Schizosaccharomyces pombe: one gene and its partners. Changing the gene in region 4 together with the main gene of any one other region gives a genetic interaction. Each region holds a gene or a part of one and is shown on either strand. Other genes may lie near its edges. The genes, in order: gmh4, eca39, rog1 and sac12.

What was found.
Region 1: mutations in sac12 (region 4) and gmh4 together harm fitness more than expected from each alone (negative genetic interaction), as found in Schizosaccharomyces pombe (one large-scale study listed by BioGRID).
Region 2: mutations in sac12 (region 4) and eca39 together harm fitness more than expected from each alone (negative genetic interaction), as found in Schizosaccharomyces pombe (one large-scale study listed by BioGRID).
Region 3: mutations in sac12 (region 4) and rog1 together harm fitness more than expected from each alone (negative genetic interaction), as found in Schizosaccharomyces pombe (one large-scale study listed by BioGRID).

The regions. Positions count from the first base shown.
Region 1 is NC_003423.3:1,387,499-1,392,831, forward strand, and holds gmh4 (alpha-1,2-galactosyltransferase Gmh4), read left to right. Parts: upstream 1-2,037; 5' UTR 2,038-2,684; coding exon 2,685-3,595; intron 3,596-3,648; coding exon 3,649-3,724; 3' UTR 3,725-4,168; downstream 4,169-5,333. Other genes in the region: SPOM_SPBC8D2.16C (uncharacterized protein), read right to left, coding at 249-1,070, 1,114-1,239; SPOM_SPBC8D2.18C (adenosylhomocysteinase), read right to left, coding at 4,169-5,333.
Region 2 is NC_003423.3:441,572-446,541, forward strand, and holds eca39 (branched chain amino acid aminotransferase Eca39), read right to left. Parts: upstream 2,366-4,970; 5' UTR 2,344-2,365; coding exon 1,060-2,343; 3' UTR 773-1,059; downstream 1-772. Other genes in the region: nucleoporin Nup107, read right to left, coding at 1-96, 147-180, 222-269, 345-404; thiamine-repressible acid phosphatase Pho4, read right to left, coding at 3,846-4,970. UniProt on the Schizosaccharomyces pombe protein: Catalyzes the first reaction in the catabolism of the essential branched chain amino acids leucine, isoleucine, and valine.
Region 3 is NC_003424.3:2,561,299-2,567,729, reverse strand, and holds rog1 (lipase), read right to left. Parts: upstream 3,841-6,431; 5' UTR 3,770-3,840; coding exon of another isoform or gene 3,767-3,769; 5' UTR 3,644-3,766; exon of another isoform or gene 3,574-3,643; 5' UTR 3,452-3,573; coding exon 3,424-3,451; intron 3,303-3,423; exon of another isoform or gene 3,260-3,302; coding exon 930-3,259; 3' UTR 860-929; downstream 1-859. Other genes in the region: fatty acid synthase alpha subunit Fas2, read left to right, coding at 1-690; protein Cwf21, read left to right, coding at 3,767-3,769, 3,841-4,719; vrs2 (valine--tRNA (Val) ligase Vrs2/Vas2), read left to right, coding at 6,016-6,114, 6,168-6,320, 6,359-6,431.
Region 4 is NC_003424.3:2,060,474-2,065,706, reverse strand, and holds sac12 (inositol polyphosphate phosphatase), read left to right. Parts: upstream 1-1,924; 5' UTR 1,925-2,065; coding exon 2,066-3,901; 3' UTR 3,902-4,134; downstream 4,135-5,233. Other genes in the region: eisosome BAR domain-containing protein Pil2, read left to right, coding at 1-854; fpb26 (fructose-2,6-bisphosphate 2-phosphatase), read left to right, coding at 5,230-5,233.

The DNA of each region.
Region 1 (5,333 bases), on a different chromosome or scaffold from region 4:
GAATTACCCTTTTTTGCATTGACTCGAATCATCTTTTAAATTTTTTTATTCTTTATTTCAACAATACACTCTTAGATATAATTTTAATCATAATAATTCTCGTCTTAGTTTCTAATATCGTCTTTATACCCAAGTTATCCTTATAATTTATCATATTCAAAATTGATTTTGTTTTCCTTGATTAGCGAGACAGCTTTATAATATTTAAGTAAGAAAAAGACAGCTTCACCTTTGTAAGTATTTAGGCTTTATCGTCGTCCATGCATCAGCAACATATCTGACAAACGGGTCATGGCCGCCAAAAGTATCTCTTCAGGAATGGGATCATTTAGAAAAGAAACTGGGAATGGGTTAAAAGAAATACTTTTGGCAGTGGAGTCTACGAGCTCTTTTTGTACGACATTGTCTTGTAAAACAAGAACAGCATGCCGAAACGAACTTGGTAAACTCGCTTCTAACTCTTTTGAAGTAATAGCTGAAGTCTGACTGTTGATTTGAACAACAAAGTCATATCCACCTTTGTAAGGAGAACTTTTACACAGCTGAGAAGAAAGACATGACCGCACCTTGTAACCCCAATAATGACCACCTTTTTCTCGTGGAGCTGAAAAAGACACGATATCACCTTGAAGCTGGCCTTCTTCGTTTGGAGACTGCGCTTTTAATCGAACCGTGACCCTTGTTCTAGGAGCAAGGACGCTGGGGCTGGAAACGATTACATTGTGAGATAGTCCAGCATTTATAATATATTTATTCTTTGCTTGCGGAGATGGATGAGTAACGATTCCCTCTCGGTATGGGAATTCAATATTCACTGTGCTAGCCTTGTCATTTCTGAGGGGAAGTAATGGAAAGCAGCTAGTATATTTTAGATGTGGATTTAGTGGAAACAATTCCTTCCTCATAAAGAAAGGCGTTTCGAAATAGCATAATAAGTCCGTGAGAAATTTTGTGGGATCCTTTAAATAAGCATCAGAGGAAAGTGTATGTACCTGGGTGTTTTGCACATATTCAGGGTCCTCTAGCAAAATAATTTCGTCAATACCATATAGAGAAACTATTCTCGAAATCTATATTTTGAGTTAATACGCGACAACAACGAATCTTTCAAACCTTCCAGACAAAACTCGTTTTAAGCTGCAAATTGTATGCTACATTTAGACTTGAAATAGGTAATGCTAAAGATATCGTATATCGTCTCGTTGGTGGTAAGCTTTGTATTTCGCTTTCTTTTTCCATAGCAGTTTCTGTAAGCAATTAATGAGAAGTAATAATATGGCCCAAGTAGCAGTATTTTATTTACTTTTTGCTGTCTTGGGAAACAGAATATTAGGATTTGGCTTTTTATAAAAATTTTAACGTCTTAAAAAGTTGGTGAAGAGTAAAGGCATGAATTTCATTTACCAGGCTAAAAACCGTCCATTTAATATAATTAAACTAATTTTAAATTTTTTTTGAAGTATTGATCAAGGTAAAGGGATATTTTATATCAATACTTTTATTGATAGGTAAAAAAAAAAATCCTGTACTTCATAAACAATGAAAAAAATTCAAACAAACAAATGTGTTTAATGCCATTCAATGAGTGCGATTTAAACTATCAATGAGTCTTCGTAAATACCAAAGGGCTATAGAATCCCCTTTTTTTTTTTTTTTTTTTTTCTTTATATGGAAATAATAAAAAAAATGGTGTACACTTTGCTTGCAATTTATATAAACCAACTATACACGCCGAAGCTTGTATATAACCGCTGTAAAAATTTGTTAGTAGAAAAAACAAGATGATATTTTATTAATTACATACATAATTTTTTAAGTCAATAGAAGTTCATCGACTCTGATTCAATTCATCTTCAATCTTACTCTATTTACTATTTACTTTTATGATTTTCGCTATATAATGAGTAGCACCGGGTATAACGCTATAACAGTTTAAAGTATAATTTCAATATCACTAAAAAAATCTAAAAACACGTTAGAGTACGTTAGGTAGGATGCATCGTACACGTTAATCAAAATCCTTCGAATGTCGAACACGCAGACTACAAATACAGCCAAGTTGCTGCCAATTATAAAAGCAACGTTTCTCTGCTCTTAGTACGTGGTTGGGTGGATCCTGATTTCTGTAAAAATCATATTCAATATCAATAACCAGTCCATCTTGACTCGTAGTCTTTGAAACGGTGTAAAAGGATTGTTGTCAGGATAAGCTATAATCTATTGTTGTTTAAATTGTAGAATCTTCCTCTTTTTTAAATATCGCCGATATAGCTTGACAAAAAGGCTCATTTTGAAAGCTAGGCGTTGTGTTCTCGCAAGGTTTCTTTCATTATCCGGTTTTTCGTATTTCTTAGTGAAAACGCCCTCTGTAACATCTTTACTGTTTTAATTTTCGGATATACTCGCGTATATATCGTTGGATCATTTATTTGCATTTAAAAAAGGGCCATATATATTCCATTTTCTTTACGACCCAGATCTTTATACCTTTTTTTCTCTTCTCTATTTATACCTTCTCGATTTACAGATATTCTCTTACCTTCTTTTCTACATTATTTGCACATTTAAAAAACCCCTAAGGTTTATTCTTTTAAACCGTTATCTTGTTCCATAGACGCGCATAACCAACTCATTTTTTCTCGCAAACTGTTTGTTTTGCACTTTTTTACTTTGTATTCTGCAAGATGTTCAACTTTCGTTTATTTTCTCGTAGAGGAAAAAGTTTAGGTCTCTTGGCCATCGTTTTATTGCTTTTTGGCTTTTATTCTTTAAAGTCTTCAATGCCTGTTTATTCCAATTCGATTGGTTCTCCCAGTGCCCATTCCTCTTCATACAAAGGTGTTTCTAAGGCGAAAACATCTCCACAAGATCCTGATTCCGTAGTCATGTTGATTGTTAGTTTTGACGACCATTATGATTCAAGTAGATCTGACTCCAGCTCTGTCTTCCTGGATAAAGTGCTTTCTGATCGTACAGAGTATGCCTTGCGTCATGGCTATACCCTAGTCCACAAGAAAGCCCGCGATATTCAAGCGAGGTATGGTGTCTATGGTACTTGGAGTATTATCCCAGCTTTGAGGGAAACTTTGGCTGAGTATCCCGACGCTGGCTGGATATGGTTGCTCGATGCAAAGGCTGTTATAATGAATCCTTCCGAATCTCTCAAGGATAGGGTCTTGAAACCAGAAAAACTGTCGCAGCATTTGCTTCTTAATTCTCCGATCGATCCATTAAAGAACTACATCCGTACACGCCGTAAAATGGATCCATCTGATGTATTTGTAATTACCACCAGTGATTATAATGGAATTAGTACGCGTTCTTTGCTTATTAAAAATAACAACTTTGCGCCATTTCTTTTAGATGCTTGGAATGAACCTTTGTTGAAATCCGCCGGTTTTGATCAAGCTGAGCGATCTGCGCTATCCCACTTATTGGAAGCACATAACACTATCTTGGATCATGTTGCACTTGTGTCTCCTAAAGTTTTAAATTCATACACCAACTCTGCGGTCGATTTGAATTACGAAGAAGGTGATTTCTTGGTTATTCTTCAGGACTGTGAGAACGCTGCTGCATGCGAGCGTATATTCGAGTATGTATTCTATTTATCATCTTGGTCTCTTGTATTTTTACTAACACTTCCAGCAACTACTATCAACAGAGAAAACTTCCAGCCATTAAAAAGCAGCTTTCGGAAGAAACGGTTGATGAACAATCGTAGGTTAGTACTGTCTTAGCATCTTACTTTCATTTCCAGTAACTCATCTTCATCTAAACCTATCTTTCAAATTCGGTGGTTTGCATATTCCTACATTAATTTAATGAATTTATACTTAATTTCCTTTGTTTGATCAAGGGAAGATATGTTTTTCGTTTACGGAAATACATCGCAGATTGGTTTACAAGTCAAGCAATTCATATGTTATATTCATCAAATCTTCTTAATGAAAGCACGTTAATTGCTATTCTATGCAAAGAAAGAAACATTTATTATGTTTGACCTGAAATCCACATAAACCCAGTTGAATAACATTAATGCATTTCATGGCGACATAGAGACATAGATGCTGTTGAAACATCACTCATGCAAAAAAAAGAGGCTGAAACATTTTTAAAGTAATTATAACTTCAAAATAAATTCTATAAACTAAATGATAAGAATAGATTAGTAACGATAGTGATCAGCCTTGTAAGGACCGTCAACAGGGATACCCAAGTAGTCGGATTGAACAGAAGTCAAAGTAGTAAGTTTGACACCGAGTTTACCCAAATGAAGACGGGCAACCTCCTCATCCAACTTCTTGGGAAGCATATGAACACCAAGAGGATAGCTGGTGTTATCGGTCCACAAAGCGATTTGGGCAAGGACCTGGTTAGTGAAAGAGCAGGACATAACAAAAGAGGGATGTCCGGTGGCACAACCAAGGTTAACGAGACGACCATCAGCTAAAAGAATGATATGACGACCGTTCTTCAATTCATAACGATCAACCTGGGGCTTGATGTTAACAACATCCTTAGCGTTAGCCTTCAACCAAGCGACATCGATCTCGACATCAAAATGACCAATGTTACAAACGATAGAGTCCTCCTTCATTTCGTTGAAGTGCTCACCACGAATAATGTCACGGCAACCAGTGGTGGTAACAAAGATTTGACCTTCCTTAACAGCCTCTTCCATAGTGGTGACTTCGAAACCGTCCATAGCGGCTTGAAGGGCATTGATGGGATCGACTTCAGTGACAATGACACGGGCACCTTGGCTACGAAGAGAAGTTGAACAACCTTTACCAACATCACCAAAACCAGCAACAACAGCAACTTTACCAGCAATCATAACATCAGTGGCACGCTTGATACCATCCACCAAGGACTCCTTGCATCCAAAAAGATTGTCAAACTTGGACTTGGTAACAGAGTCGTTAACGTTAATAGCAGGAACCTTAAGCTTGTTCTCCTTGAACATTTTGTACAAGTTGTGAACACCAGTGGTGGTCTCCTCAGAGATACCACGAATGTCAACCAAAAGTTCAGGGTGACGCTCATGAACAAGAGCAGTCAAATCTCCACCATCATCCAAAATCATGTTCAAAGGCTTACCACTAGGGAAAGACTTCAATTGTTGCTCAATACACCAGAGGTATTCTTCCTCAGTCTCACCCTTCCAGGCGAAAACAGGGACACCAGTGGCGGCAATGGCAGCAGCAGCATGATCTTGAGTAGAATAAATGTTGCAAGAGGACCAGGTAACTTCAGCACCCAAAGCAACCAAAGTTTCGATGAGGACGGCGGTTTGGATGGTCATGTGAAGGCAACCAGCAATACGGGCT
Region 2 (4,970 bases), on a different chromosome or scaffold from region 4:
GCAGCCCATCCTTTGAGAATAAATTGTCTTTCTTTAAAGAAGTGATTATATTAAACTTTTCGTATTCGTCTCCAAGTTCAACGCTTACGGCGGTTTCTGTACCATAGTTAGATATATACTTTACTTGTACGTGATAAGCTTTATACCATTTGGGCCTATGCAAACGACATTTTGATTCATCTAAATGGTTAAAATAATGTTAAATTTATTTAATAACAAACCTCGGCCTCTTCTTCGTCCATTTCAATTAGTTCTTGAATACTAGAACTCTTCGTATGTTAGTACTTCTGTGTTCCAAGCAGTAGAAATTGACAATAAGGGTTAAAATCTTATTATTAACTTACTCCATTTTTTTTGTGTCCAAGGACATTCAGAGTAGCATTATTCAATGCATTCTGATGCATGGTTTTGAAATCCAACCTCGTATGGGTTAAGATCGTACTATAGCAGCAACAAGCCATCCAAGCAATGTAATTTCAACAGACCAATTCTAATGCTATATTTCAGTTATATGCATACTATTTTCTTTTTTTTACATATTTATATTCATTTGTTTATCTACTACTTCTTTATTTCGAGAAAAGACATAAAATTTATTAAGTCCATGAATTTTCTTGTCAACTCTGCACACTAGTAGAATGGAACTAACTGTTTCCACGATCAAATGTCGAGCCCAATCAATTACTTTTCTCTCATTTACCATGTAGCTTAGATAATTTTATTTACTATTACATTTTTACACTTTACTAGCCTAAATGAATAATAAACGATGTGTATTGAATAAATTTAATATATCTGTAGAATAACACTAATTGATGTTTACGCTAGTATTGAACAATTCATAAATACTCCGATTGATTTACAAATTTATATACAAGAAGACTATCCTTCTGTAATGTTATCAATAAAAGAATTGAAAAGGAAAAGTAACACGAATCAGAGAAACCAACAAAGATAAAAGGGATTAACCCTCGAAAGGTCTATATGTAATAATTATGGACACCTAATATCATAAATGTCTAAAGACAGACATAGTTAGGTATTTTTTGAGAATTAAATTTAAGGCAAAGCAGGAACGCTCCAAGGGTTGTTAGGTTCCTTGCCGTATTGGATATCCAAAATCCATTTGCTGATTTCAGAAGTGATGGGACCAGCTTCCTGACCCTCAGGCATGGGAATTTCATACTCAGTACCCTTGTAGTTAATAGCCTTGACGGGGGAAACAAGGGCAGCAGTACCAGCTCCAAAGACTTCCAAAAGGCGACCTTCCTTAGAAGCTTGAGCAACCTCTTTCATGGAATACTTGCCCTCAGTAATCTTCCAGCCTTTAGGTGCGAGACGTTCACGGCAAATTTCCAAAATAGAATCACGAGTGACACCAGGTAAGATCATACCGTCAAGAGGGGCAGTAATGATTTCTTTTTCGCCATTCTTGTTAATCCAAACAGTAAAGCAGTTCATAGTACCAACCTCAGTAATGTAGTCCTCGTCTCCATAAAGCCAGAGAATCTGAGCATACCCCTTCTTGGCAGCCTCTTTTTGAGGCAAAACACTAGGAGCATAGTTACCACCAAGCTTGTAGTGACCAGTACCGCCAGGCCAAGCACGAACGGATTCTTCGGAGCAACAAAGCTTAACGGCCTTGAAACCAGAGCTGTAGTAGGGGCCAACGGGAGAGGCAATAACATAAAGCATAGCGTTGTCACAATGGTGGACACCTAAGGCTTCATCAGTACCAATGAAAGTAGGACGAATGTACAAAGAGTAACCACGCTGATCAGGGACCCAACGGTTTTCGTGAGCGACGAACTTTCTGATAATTTCAGCAAGCTCAGCAGGGTCGAAGGAAGGAAGAGATATACGAGTACCAGTTGAAAGCATACGCTCAGCATTCTTGATGGGACGGAAAAGACGTGGGACACCCTTTTCGTCACGGAAAGCTTTCATGCCTTCAAAGCACTCAAAACCATAATGGAAAACGGAGGAAGCAGGGTGAAAGCAAAGTTTACCAAATGGAACGATCTCAGGAGTACTCCAACCCTTTTCTCTGTTCCATTTCATAATAAGCATATGATCAGTAAAATTCTCACCAAACTTCAAACTCTTCCATTCGGGCAAAGGTTTAAGCTCCTTAACATTAGTAACTTTTATATGGGAGCTATCCATGGGCTTTGGGCCATGGAGAGCAGCAGTTTGAACCATGGTACGAAGTTGTGTAGTGTTGAGGAAATTTTTACAAGCCTCAGAGCTTTGTTGAGAATAACCTACAGAGCCACGTTGAAGGGCAAAGCGAATATTTCTGCCTTTTATATTGCCCGCTCTCCTCAAAAACATTAAACTCATTTTTTCTTCTTCTTCGCCTGATACCGAAAAAGTTGGGGCTAGGTAAAATAAATAATAGCGTCTATCCAAACGGATCTAGAGACGGCCGAGATTAGATAGCTGATTGGTAACAACTACAGGGTGCTAAATGGACAAGTAGGTTTGTTAAAGAACCGAGATCAATAGTGATAAAGACTGACCACGTGGCCACCTTTAATCCTGAGTACCATTGGCATAGCTTTAGTAGTAATAGCATAAAGAAATTAGTTTGAACTCATAAAGGAAGCTAATTTATCGACATCAATTTTTATAATTATGATTTTGACACTCAAATTATTAAACCGATGTTGGAAATAAGCGATCATCGCCTAAAACGTATGTCAATTTTTTCCCTTTTTATATTGCGACAGGTGTAAATGAATTTTGAAGAAAATGAAAGGTTAGAAGGAATATTTTAGAAAACTAGGTTTCTTAACATTCTCGAAAAATGTTGGACATTTAGAACGCAGTTGAGATACATGTTTAAAAACTCTCTCAAAAGTTGCAAATGGCCTATTCTTTTAGCAATAAAAAAGCATTCGTTAAAACACTAGGAGTAGGAGTATAGATTTTCCCGTGCAATTTAATGAAGATTCATAGGTTTGAGATACGGTTATTTGGTAAAGTTGTGGGCAAAGAATATAGATTCTTACACATGCGGTAATCAGATGAGTTTGAAAATGCGCTGTTTGGTGTGATTACCATGTTTAATTATTGAAGATTTAATGCTTTGGTAATTCCGGATAGCTGGTTTTTCGCGAAAATGTTTGAAATCGGTGATTTTGGATAGTATCTTAAAAAATAAGAAAATTGTCAGAAGAAGCACCTTCTTACGCGAAGCCTTAGTTTTATCATTTGGAACATCTCATGGCAATGTTCATTTTGATTTATAGAGCTACAGATATTAAAGGGTTTAAAAAAAGGGATTGATTGATTCTTTTATCCGTGTAATGGAAAAGGAGGACTAGGGATTTTTTTTTTGGCAAATTACATGACTTTCAAATATTTTAAATGAATTCTATTAAACTTTTGTGTCGTTCGTGTGTGGTAAAAGGTGAGTTGTTGACGCCAAAAGGAATCGTTAATGTACGCGTTATATCTTGAGAAATGTTTAAGATTTATCCCGACCTATTAATATTAATGATTTGGAAAGGAATTACAAAAGCTACGGAGTCACTTGAAAGGCTTTGAAGTAAGTCGAATTGAAGAATTAGCTTCACCTAAAGGCGGTACGAGTGAAGGTTATAGATTTCGTACTAGGCATTTAAAACTATAAGTATTTCCTTTTTTGTTCAAACACTGACACAACTCGTTTATACTATGTCTCGTAAGTCTTTCTTGAATATATAAATGCTCACTTTCTGTTCGCTCTACTTTTCCTCCTTAATACCTAAGTCTTATACATAAGCTATTACTATAGTTAAAAATTATCTATATTATTCCTAAGGACCCAATTGTGTTAACAATAATATAAGATGCTAAGTCTAGTAGTAGACGGTAACGTTGGTGGAATGCGCCTGACATTGCGAGTTAAAATTAGCAATACCATTAGAGGTAGAATTAACACGAACCGAAGAATTCAAGTAAGCGCTCAACTCGCATAACCCATCTGAAGCACCACTAGGACCATAACCGCAATCAGTAAGGGGGTATACTTGCTGGTTGACGAGATGGCGTACATAGTATTTATTATCAGAACATAAGAAAAGTTCAGTAATTAAGTTTCCTGCGAAGGGAACGAACGAAGAGGTTTTTAATGAGTATGTAAAAATGTTTTTGTCAGTCGGTAGAGGGTGCTCAGGAGTAATGTCGGGGAAAAACCCAAGAGCAGCCTCGACTGGAATAATTTGAGAGTCGTGGGTAAACGCTAAGAATACCTTACGATCGGAAGCATTATTCACACCCTTACGAAGATTATTTGCAAGGTTATTAACATAAGCCCCACCTAATGTGGAAGCCCATTCTGAAGCGGGACCACCCCAATATGCGTAGTCAAGGTCACTGTCATATTCAAAATTCAAAAATTCAGAGGGAGTAAAGAGTGAACAGAAATCGCTGTTATCTCTGAGAGCGATCTCGTATACACAAATATAGTAAAGACTGCGAACATCCGAAACCGTAAGATTATAACCGCTATCAAAGTATTTGTTTAAGCGATTGGCGATAGGCTTGAGAAAAACATTACGCCAACTAGTATGGGCGGCTTCAGTAGTGTTTTCATCAATATTGTTGTCTTCATAAACGGGACAAGAGTAATACATAGCTAAGGAGTTTGCACCCGCAGAATCGTCTTCCGGAAGAACGATGAAGTTGGTTTTGTTCTGCATATCATCGCCAAACATTCCATAACTAAACCATTCTGCAGAGTCGACAACACGTTCTTGAGCAGCAGTATTGATATCGTAGACATCAGTGTCGAAAAGCTCATAGTAGCGCTCAAAAACTTGACGGCCCAAGTCAAAAAGTTCAATTCGACCGCTGCTGGACAACTGGTCGGCATTTTCAGCCTTTATCACAGGAGTCCAATGTTTAACGAAGTAAAGAGGATTTTCAGGATAGCTAAAATTTACCGGAATTGAGCCATTTAGAAGCTTGTTTTGAAAAATATC
Region 3 (6,431 bases), 500 kb from region 4:
GTTATCCATCCTGATTACATTTACGGTGTGATTGATGAGGCTACTTATAATGCTTACAAAGCTAAAACTGCTGCTCGTTATAAGGCATCTTATCGTTACACCCACGATGCGCTGGTTTACAACAATTTGGTCCGCGCCAAGGATTCTCCTCCTTACACCAAAGAACAAGAGAAAGCCGTTTATCTCAATCCTTTGGCACGCGCTTCGAAGAGCAAAGCTGGCACTTGGACTTTCCCTGCCACACTGCCTGCTGAATCCGACATTTCTAAAACCAACGAAACTACACGTACTCTACAAAGCCTAACAACCTCATTGACCAACTCCAATGAAAATGTTGGCGTGGATGTTGAACTTGTATCAGCGATTAGCATTGATAATGAGACCTTTATAGAAAGGAATTTTACTGATACCGAGCGAAAGTACTGTTTTGCAGCTCCTAATCCCCAAGCTAGCTTTGCCGGACGTTGGTCAGCCAAAGAGGCTGTCTTTAAGTCTTTGGGTATTTCCGGTAAAGGCGCTGCAGCTCCATTGAAGGATATCGAAATTATTTCTTCAGAGTCTGGTGCTCCTGAAGTAGTTTTGCACGGAGAGGCTGCGAAGGCTGCAACGACCGCCGGTGTGAAGAGTGTTTCCGTCAGTATTTCCCACGATGATAATCAAAGTGTCAGTGTTGCTTTGGCTCACAAGTAATTTACGTTATATTGTCTTTCAACATTGGTATGCGGATTTTCGCATTCCCTTCAATCGTTTGATTTAATACACTATCTTTAATCTTTTTGTTTACCTCAAATGCTTTGAAATGGTTATCGATTTTTGTAGTCGTTATATACGCAGTTAGAAATAAATTACTTTTAACCTTATAAATTATTATGCTCTAAAAAAATGCAGTATCATTAAATTTAAACGAATGTCTTAACACGTATGAGTATTTAAACTGATATTGAGTTATCTTCATAAATTTCTGAAAGCCAGGCAGCGGTTGTTGTTTCATCGAAAGAAATGGGGTTCATATATGCTGTTGAAGTGTTTTGCTCGAACAAAATTTCAGTTAGATGCTTAATCACTGTCCAACCGTAAGCATTCGGAAACCGCCTACGAACAATCATGGTATTGTGCGCATCACCATCGAGTCTAACAGCAACCTTTCTCCACGCAAGCCTATGCCAGTTTTTGGCAATAGTAATTTCGTTAGACAAAAAACCATTATTCATGTTGTTTAGCTCAGTAATTCCATCAAAAGTAGAAAAAGAGGCAGCTGGATCATGGACATTATCAGATACAACAACTTTATGCAGATGATATTTAAAAAAGTAAGAATCTGTCGGAACAGCTGGGATAAACAAATTTGTAAAAGTGTTGACAACTCGTTGTGCAACTCCTGAAAACGTGGAAGTTGGATCTAATTTAGGGGCTGAGCAAAAAAATTGGTTTGAAGAATTTGAGACATCTAATTCATCTGAGCCAAGACAATTGGGTTCAGTAGGCTTCCTAGCATTTTCATCCTCATTTTTTACTAATGGAATTTCAGTATCTGTAGTTTTGGATGCCGAATAACTGAACAATCCTACAAAGGATTTAAGAGCTTTAGAAAATGAAGATCCAGATTCTTCTGAAGAAGCATGGATTTTCTTTGCATTATCTCCGACACTTTGAACTGTTTGCTCATTTTCTTTTAGTGTTGGTGAAATGCCATTTTCCATATGCGTAGGCATAACCTTATCTGAACCCTCAGCTTCCTCTACCTTACCCAAAGAACTAACTTCCATTGCGCTAGTTCCAAAAGGGACGATATAGTCATTGGTAGTATTTGCAAATAATATTCTTTTTTCAAAAAACGAAACAGCTTGAAAGAAAGGCGTGGAAGGATCAGACATCAAAACAAGGAAAGGTCTTGATTCAATGGAGTGATTCAGTGGAGTTAAAGATAAGTCTTGTCCTGTCTTACCAATGATACCATAGGACAAAGCCTTACCAATATAAGAAGGATGTTCACCAGCAACACCGAGCCAAGGAGTTGCCAAAGTTACAAAAAACACAGGGTGAATAGCCTGAAAAAAGGCACCGTGCGTTTTTGCATGTACATAACCAACAGCATATGTTTGAACCAATCCACCAAGTGAGTGGGCGACAACTGATATATGGGAATATCGAGGAAAAGATGCACTTCCCCAGCCCGTAATATCCAACAGCCATTCACCAAGTCGTTTACCCAGCCAGCGAACCCCTTTCTCAGTCTGACAGTAGTTACCGGTAAATCCTCGAACAACTACTAGTTCCTTAACAGATTTTGATGATTCTATTAGTTTTTCTTTTAAATACTCCATATCAGCACCAACATTAGAATGCATTCCATGAGTTAGCACCACCAAATGTGAATTCTTTGAATGAAATGAAGAATACGGAAGACGCCATAAATTTTCCGGAGTTTGATGTTCAACGTGTAGAGCAGGGAATGCATGAAGAGTATCGATATCAGCAGCTGACATGGCTCGAATGGAATGTTGAGATTGCGATATAGCAAGCTCAAAGTTAATAGATCTATCTTTAAAAATCGCCTGACTTGCAATTTCAATGTAAATAGGCTGCTGATTGGAAAAACATGAATAAGGTACACAGACCCAAAAACTAGTAGAGGGCTGTACCTGAGGATCAAAGTTTAATAAAGAATTTTTTTCATCAAAAAATTGGTCATTCCAAACGCTAACGCATAATGTAAATGGACCTTGAAGATAGGCTGCCTGGCGGAAACGTGCTTCTCTATTCCTGACACGAATCCAAAGTACCGAGTTAGTCGAATTTATGAAGGGAGCTGTAGAGTCGCTTCCTGCCAAGGGATTTTTTACTTCACGAAGATTAATAGAAGAGAATGAAGTACCTACAGAAGGAGAAGAAGAGGTATGAGAGACACCTCTTGTTTGTTCAGGTATGTTGATTGCATTGGTATTATCTGTAAACGCACCAACTTTATGATAATCTTTTGAAGAAGATGAAAAATCGCTGGAAAGAAGAGGTGAGGATTCTGAATTTGCATGCTTCGGATTCGTGCTACTATTATTCTCTGAGATTTGCTTGCTGATATTCTCCCCACTAGAGATTGTCATCCCACCTGAACCTGCTCTATCCTCGATGCTACCACTCTCTTTCTTAGTCACTGAATTGAGGTTCACAGTGGGGGGCACAGTTGTAGAAGACGTTGCCGAATGCAAATTGCCCCCACTCTGCACAAAAATTCGAAATCGATGTATTTGACCTAAACCAACTGTACCATGCCAATGTTAGAACAAGTATTAAATATTTATATGCCATCCCAAAATTTTTGCATCGAAACAAGCATAACAAATCGAAACTTTAAATAACGAGCTGATAATATCAACTTGCAAATACAATTTAAAGGAGTGGTAAATTTTGTTTAAAGTAACTTACCGTCATCTCGTTGTACATATACATTCATAATGTCAGAAGTCAAGCGATGACAACTCAAAAACTAGTAAATCTGAAAATTAGCTATTCGTGAAAGGTGAGAGATATCAATTATTTTTCAATACCGGTCAACGAATAGGGATAAAATTTTATCTGTTTCAATTAGTAAATCGCTAGTTGCTCATATCACGTAAAAAGTAACGCGAATTTATCAGTGTCCTACCGGTAAAATTTGTTCGCTCGATTCCTTTGTTAGACTAGCTGTTCGACGAACCTATATAAACTCAGTTTTTCTAATTTTTGAGCAAAAGCAAAAATCGAACGACTTCACGGGAAATAAAGCAAGATGGTAAGAGATGCATAAAAAGCTTTCTTTAATGAAGAAGACACCAAAATTGAGTCCTTTGCTAACAATTAAAGTCGTATAATGGAATTGGATTACCCACTCCAAGAGGATCAGGAACAAATGGATACGTAATGCGGAATCTGTCTCACGTAAAAAAATATGACAAAAATACAAATCTACAGTCAAATCGAAATGCAAAAGCTCTGGAAAAACGGGTTCAAGATCCTTCAATAAGCGAGCATGAATGCCGTCGACAAATTGAGTCGAAGTTGTTGTTGTACAGAGAGCAGTTGTTGGAGGAGGTCAGTTCCCAACACAGCACTGATGCAGCGGCATCTGATTCCAATACAAATTTTGGGACTGAAAACCCGAAGCCACCTAAAGCAATTATAAAAGATGAGCAATCACAATCGAAAACTAAATCTTTAGATGAAGCTGATGTAGAAATTTTAGTACAAAAATATCGAGAACAGTTACTTAAAGAATTGCAATTACAAAAATCTACTGAAAAAGGAAAAAATTTTGAATCCATTCTTCAACCTCAGAAAAGAAAAGAAACAAGAGGATTTCACTCGAAAAATGACGATGATGGGCGATTAGAAGAAAGAGACGATTTGAGATCATCAGTTGACGATGATTATTATGATTACCCGCGTTATTCCGAGAGGAAATCATTAAATTCAAAAAGGCATGTGGACAATTACAATGAAAATAGAAGAAGACATTACGATTCGTATTCCTCCTACGATGAATTAGAAAGACGACGGAGTAGTAATGAAAGTTACTCAAGGCGTTCTGAATTACCCAGAAGAGATTATAATAGACACGATGAACGGGAAAGGTATTCTTATCATAGAAGGAGAGAAAGAAGCAATTCACCCTCCTATACGAAGAATGAGTCAATTCCTGTTGTGGACAGGGATTCCTCTCCTGAGGGTGGCGAAATTGTATGAGGCCCAAAGAGTTAGGCCAGTTAAAACAATAATATAATAGGCAATTCATGCAAGCATGTATTGTTTATTAATATTGGATAATTATTCGGGTCATCAACAATCGTTGGATTAATATGAATATTTGGTTAGCAATACACGTTAGTCAAATCCCATGAAGCACACGACTGTTCAATGATATAAAAAATATTATTCTTCAAAGAAAAAATACTATCGACTTTATATTAAGGCTGTTAAGTTGCACGATTTAAACATCATTTGATATTTTTCTTTTTCACGGAGGGATAATGAAGCAATTTTAAATTTACAATTACGCTTTTACATTTGTATTTTAAATTCATTAATTAAGCATAAAAGAATCTTTTTAATAAAGATTTTCGAGATTATTCACGCGATTTTAGTCAAAGTAGCTCTTGGCGGCTTTGTTTTCCTGCATACTGTAAATCTCAGAGCTTTTATACCAATAATGTTTATTATATATATTTTACAAAATGAACTTGCTTTAAAGCAATATTAATTATATAATAAAACCAATTTATAAAAAAAATTATAATATAAGTTTAATTATAAATAATACAATTTTTATTTTCTGATGATCTTCGGATCACTTTGGTCAAATTGAAACGATACAGAGAAGATTGTAAGTAACAATATTTACCAAGGTTCGAGTCATACTAACTCGTTGTTTAGAGCATGGCCCCTGCACAAGGATGACACTGCGACATTGAGAGAAAACCCATTTTTTTTTCTAAACAAAATTAATCATACATTCAAATCTTGATTTCCAATCGCTTTAACTTTTTTAAAATAAATATCTATTGTTTCATATAACTTTCAATTTCCTAGATACTACAGTACATTAAACACGTATTACAACTTCTTGCTAAGTCGCAAAGCATTAATTAATTAGTTTTCTGTAGATAATTGAAAAGAAAAAAAACATTTTTTCATCGAAATTTTTTATTGGACAGGTAAATATATTTAACGCGATTACTCTATCGAAATCTGAATTAAAAACTAGTTAAAAATTTTCGACTAGCTTGTTTGTTACTATCGCCAATATACCAAGCTTTGTTCACAAAGCAATTGACTAGATGTAGGTTCATATAGCATATTATACGAATTGGCAGCATCAATGGGTAGGAACAGTGAGCTCGTATTTCACTTTAACGTCTCAAACGGAGCAAAGTTAGCCTCTTCTAAACATTATCAGCATTGGTCATTCCTGACTCCCTTCTATGTTCATATATTGTTTCTTGAATTACAAAAAATAATTCTTCGTTTTCATGTTACAGTTCTATGTTTCATTTTCAACGCTCTTTTTCTTCGCGTAAAGCTCATGGGTTACTAAGTTTTAAGAATCGTAACTATATACACATTGAAGCTCCCTTTGATATTGTATTATTTCTTTATTTCATTTATCTACCGTGTATTAATAACTCAATAAATAGGCAGCGATCCAAGATGGTTGGAACATAATTCGTAAACACATTCATTATCCCAAGCCTAAAAGCATAGAAGCTCCAATGTTTCCCATCTTGCTCCCACCTCCTAATATTACTGGAAAATTGCATATCGGTCATGCGTTGACCATCACGATTCAGGTATATGATTTGCAAAAACAAAGAACTAACAATTGAAGGACGCTCTAGCTCGTTTCTATGCTATGCATGGCTACAAGGTTTCCTTTCGGCCTGGCACTGATCATGCTGGCA
Region 4 (5,233 bases):
GTGATAAGCTTGGTGTACTTTTATATGAAATTGGCGAACTTGAGGAGCATATGGTAGACAGATACGATCAATATCGTGTTAGTCTGAAGACCATCCGTGATATTGAGGCTAGCGTTCAACCCACCCGTGTTAAGAAAGAAAAGCTACTTAACTCCATTTATGATGTTAGAAGCCGTGATCCTGAGTCCCCAAAGCTTATTACTATGGAACAGGAACTAGTTCGTGAGGAAGCTGCGTGTTTGGTTGCAGAAGCGCAGTTAACTAACATTACCCGCGAAAACTTTAAACGTGCTTTTACTCTTCATATTGGTACATTACTTGAGCATTCTGAAAAGGTTGCTATTCTTTGCGGGTATGCCAAGAAGATCCTCGATCTCCTGGACGATACTCCCATTGTTCCCGGTGAGCCTCGCCCTATTTACGATGGTTACAACATAACCCGTGACTATATTGTTGAGGCTGAACGTGAGTTGGCTAATTGGCAAAATCCTTTCCAAACTCCTGAACCCCTTACCGACATTGATGGTTTGCCTTCTCAAAGTCATTATCAAACACAATTTCAAGCTAGTGTCGTTCCTCGCACAGATGTAATCAATGAACCTCCACGCCGTTACTCTCATGCGAATGGTGTAACTACTTCCGGCACTACACACTCTTACACCTCTACAGGTAGTAAAAGATATTCTCAAATGGGTACAGAAGATTATCAACCTAGTTTTCAACCAAACATTCTTCAAAGCACCCAAGTTGTTGATAACTTTGAAATTGGCGAGGAGGATGATGAAGAAGTAGGATCTCAAGGCGTTGCTGAAACGTCTATGCCTAGCACTAGTGCACAACCTATTGCTGCTTAAGCAAGTCTTGGTGTGTATTCACGCGATTTCTGGTGATCCTTACGCATTCATCAATTGACGTGAATTTTTTGTCATGTCAATTCACATAATTTGCTAGCACGTGTTAAGCACTTGCTATTGCTACATATGCATGCTTATCGAACTAATACTCACGTTACTCTCATTACCATTGTTTTTGTGTCTATGTCGTTTAACCATATTTATTTTCCACCGAGTTTTATGTTTCGCAGATGTTGGTTTCTTAATTATCTTGTTTTTATTTAGTGTTTTTTTTTAATTCCTGCGGTCAAAATTAGGCTTAACAAGGTTGTTGGTTAAAGCAATTAATTAACAATGGAGATTATTTGTGTTGAAAAAGGATTTTATTAAATGTATGATTTTATAATTTTTACTTCTCAATCCGATTTAATAAAATATTTATGTAAAAATTGGCAGTTCGGTTGTATTAGTAAAAAGCAATACAACATAGATAGCAAATTCAACTGGGTCAGATCTTTAGTATATATTATTTAACAACGGTAAAAATATCAATAAAGCTTAATTAAAGCAAAACATATGCTTCCTTTCGAAGAGTTGGTTATCATATAACACCTAACTTTTATAGAAATTATGTATCAAAATATAAAGCGACATTGCCTATATGTTACTTGCAGTCAAAGAAGGCTCGTAAACTATTTTGATTATGCGATAGAGTATGGTATGTTTTCTGTGATATCTGAAAAACGCTACGATGAATTATTAATTATTTTTGCTACTCTCAAAATCAATAATATCATACAGTATTATGATTTTCGTTTGCCTATTCTTCGAATTATAGTTTGTAGTTCAGCCTTAATATAGGTAATTGGGGAGTATCAGCATCACCAGACGACCTATCTTGTAAAGCAAAGGTACAATGAATAGCGATACTTTACGTATCATTACATAGTGCAATGAGAATTGTTAATAATATCATACATTACACTGTCACTGAAAGTTCGTTTTGTAAAACGTGCTGCATAAACCTTCAGGTAACAATGAACTCGTTACTCAGGCGCTGCGTTGGAAATCAAGCCTTCAAAAATCGTTTCATGGACATTAAAGAGTTTGATTTGAATTTTTGTAAATATAGCATTCTCATTTTTTACTTTTGAGACCTAATTTGGAAAATACATTAGTCCGGGGTTCATTATAGCAGAAAAGCATCTACGCTTCTCAAATACAACAAAATAATGAATCAGGACGTTAGAGTATTTCCAGACAGCATTTATCTATCATGTTCCAAAAAAAAAGCTTCTCTTCGAATAGATAGAGTCGACGGATGCCTTAGTTTGAGCAATTCTCTTGATCTCAGCAAGACACCTGACTATAATAACGTTCAGTTATATGGATTTATTCGATTGAAAATATACAAATATGTAGTTCTTGTTACAAGTTGTGATTTGCATGCAGCAATTCTCGGAAACAATATTTATCGGGCAAGGAAATTTGCTATCTTCCCAATTACAAGGACTCTTCCATTCTCCACGGGTCTGCTAAATATTAAAGATGAGGAAGAACTACATTATATCAGTTTGCTCAATAAACATTTGTCAAAAGGCCAAATACTTTTTAGTCCAACGTTAGATCTAACCTGTTCCCTTCAAAGATTACGCGTACTAACCCAATCTTTTGAACTGACATCAAAATATAATTACCGCTTTTTTTGGAATAAATATGCATTTCATGAATTAATTGAATTGACGAATAAGGATTTAGGCTTTCAAGAATGGATTCAACCGATGATTCAGGGTAATATCGCCATTACTAACTCGTTTTTAAAGACTTATAACCTTAGACTGTGTGTTATTACACGACATTCTCCTGACTATGCGGGTACGCGGTATTTCACCAGAGGTGTAAACGCACAAGGAAGTGCTGCTAATTTTAATGAAATTGAACAAATAATAATGATCGAATCACCCATCACCCTTGAAGAACAAATGGTTCTTTCTTTTACTCAAATTCGAGGAAGTATCCCCATGTTCTGGGCCGAAGTTAATGATCTTCATTATCGACCTTTATTATCTTTACAACCTCTTGATTATAGCGAGACTGTGTTTGGGAAGCATTTTCAAGAACTTGCCAACGATTATGGGGACAATCTTGTGGTGGTCAATCTTCTAGACCAAAAAGGACGTGAAGCACCTCTACGGTCTGGGTTTGAAAAATTATGTAAACGAAATAAAAACCCTCCTTTGTCTTATGTTTACTACGATTATCATAAGCAAGGAAGTAGAAATCTCCCTTTGTTTCTTGCTGAAATTCAAAGTCTCTTGATAGAAGGAAAATATTATGCCGAGCATGGATCTAAAACTACTGCAATGCAAACCAACTTTGTAAGGACAAATTGTATGGATTGCTTAGATCGGACGAACGTCATTCAGACTAGCATTGCACAGTTTATTCTAAACATGCAATTACACGATATTGGTGTACTTTCTAGCTCTGAGAGTTTGGAAGAATATGATAGTTTTTTACAAGATTTTCGCTTAATATGGGCTAATACTGGAGATTATATCAGTGATCTCTACACTGGTACCCCGGCCTTAAAAGGCGATGTGACTCGCCATGGAACGAGAACCATTTTTGGAGCTTTCAAAGATTTATTAAACTGCTTTCGTAGATATATTCTTAACAATTTTTTTGACGGTATGCTGCAAGATAGCTATGATTTGGGTCTTGGAGTATTTCGTCCTTACGACTCACTTTCGATTCCGGACTTGCCTTTGCGTTTTCACTGGACTAGATTTGTGGCACCTGGAATTTTTTTGTTCACCACGATAATATTAACTATACAAGAATTATTTGGAAATCCAAGTCTGTTCTGTCGTCTGTTATATTCTATCCCTATGGTGAATGCTGGAATCTACCTATATTTTCATCGTAGACAATACGTTAATTGGCCTCGTCTAGTACTACCAACGTATGCTAAGGGAGGTTGGTTTTCGTTTCGTAATCATTTCCGAAATATTACTCTTAAAGTGTTTCGTTTTTTGCGTTCCGGCTCTTTCAAAAAAAGTGTCTAACTGTGCATTTCAATAACTAAAGAACAGTATTGCTATAACTCTTAATTAGCAGAAAACGCTCTTTGAACACTCGAAGTTCACTCTTTATTTCATTAGACTTCATAGATGTCAATCTTGCTACTGAACAAAGCGATGCTACCCAACTTTATCAAGTGACTAATTCAGATCATTTTACGTGATTGGTAATTGTAACTTTATTTTCTTTAATTGCTCCAAGCTTCCTACCAATATCAATTAGTAATTTAAGATTTTCATAATTGTTAGAGCCCTTAACAAACTATTGTAGTATGGATAACACACGAAAAAAATATAGCAGACAAAATTAATATTTCTAACTTTTATTAAGTCAGTGTTAAATATTGGGCAACTTTGACCATTGAATCACTGAGGCTTTTGACTCAAGTTTTACTCGGTTTTAAACAGTAAATGAAATATATGAAAAAGCCAAGCTTTCTTTCAATTTCATAAGTGTTGTTCATGTTCAATATTTAGGATACATACTTCTTCCAATTTAGGGGCATTCTGGTTTAATATTTTCAATGAACATGTTATAAAAATGAATTTTTTAAAAGATCATACAGTTCAGCAACGTTTTCTAATACTTCCAATCCAGAATCTTAATTCACAATTCACATTACTGAAAAAATGATGAAGTTATGCCTTACCCGACAGTTTTTGTATGAAAACTCCACAATATTACGAAAATGATTATATACACTTTTACAATCAGCTTAGCATAATTATGCTTATAGAAATGGAAATGCTCACACTTAATTTTGAATATTATTTTAATAGTGGATTTAACTACTCCTAGTACCAAGTCAAAGACTTGAGATCACTTAATGTAGCTTACGGAAGCGTAAACATCTCTCGCAATAATACTGCGTAACGAAGACCTGCAATTTAGTATATTAAGCTTGAACTTACACGTATACCCCTCTTGTTTATGTTAGCAGGAGTGCAATGTTCTGAACTTGTATATTTTAAGCCGTTCTGTTAAATATTATTAATTTAATCGTTTTTCTTTTTAAAAATTATAGCTTTTTAACGCATTGACGAGTTCACTACATACTCTAAGGATACTTAACATAAGTACGAGTACTGCAAACCGTCCATCAAGCTCTTCAAGGCGAATCATACATTTCGAGCGAAATACGACTCTTTAACATATATTCATTATTTAACATATTCACTTAATAATTCAACCCGATTCTGGCAGGATTAGCAACCTGGTCATATTCTTATGATTTATTCTTTAATATTTGTTTGCAACATAACCACACCCAAAATTTAAATTAAGAACTAACTTTTTTACATTAAGATCGAACATGA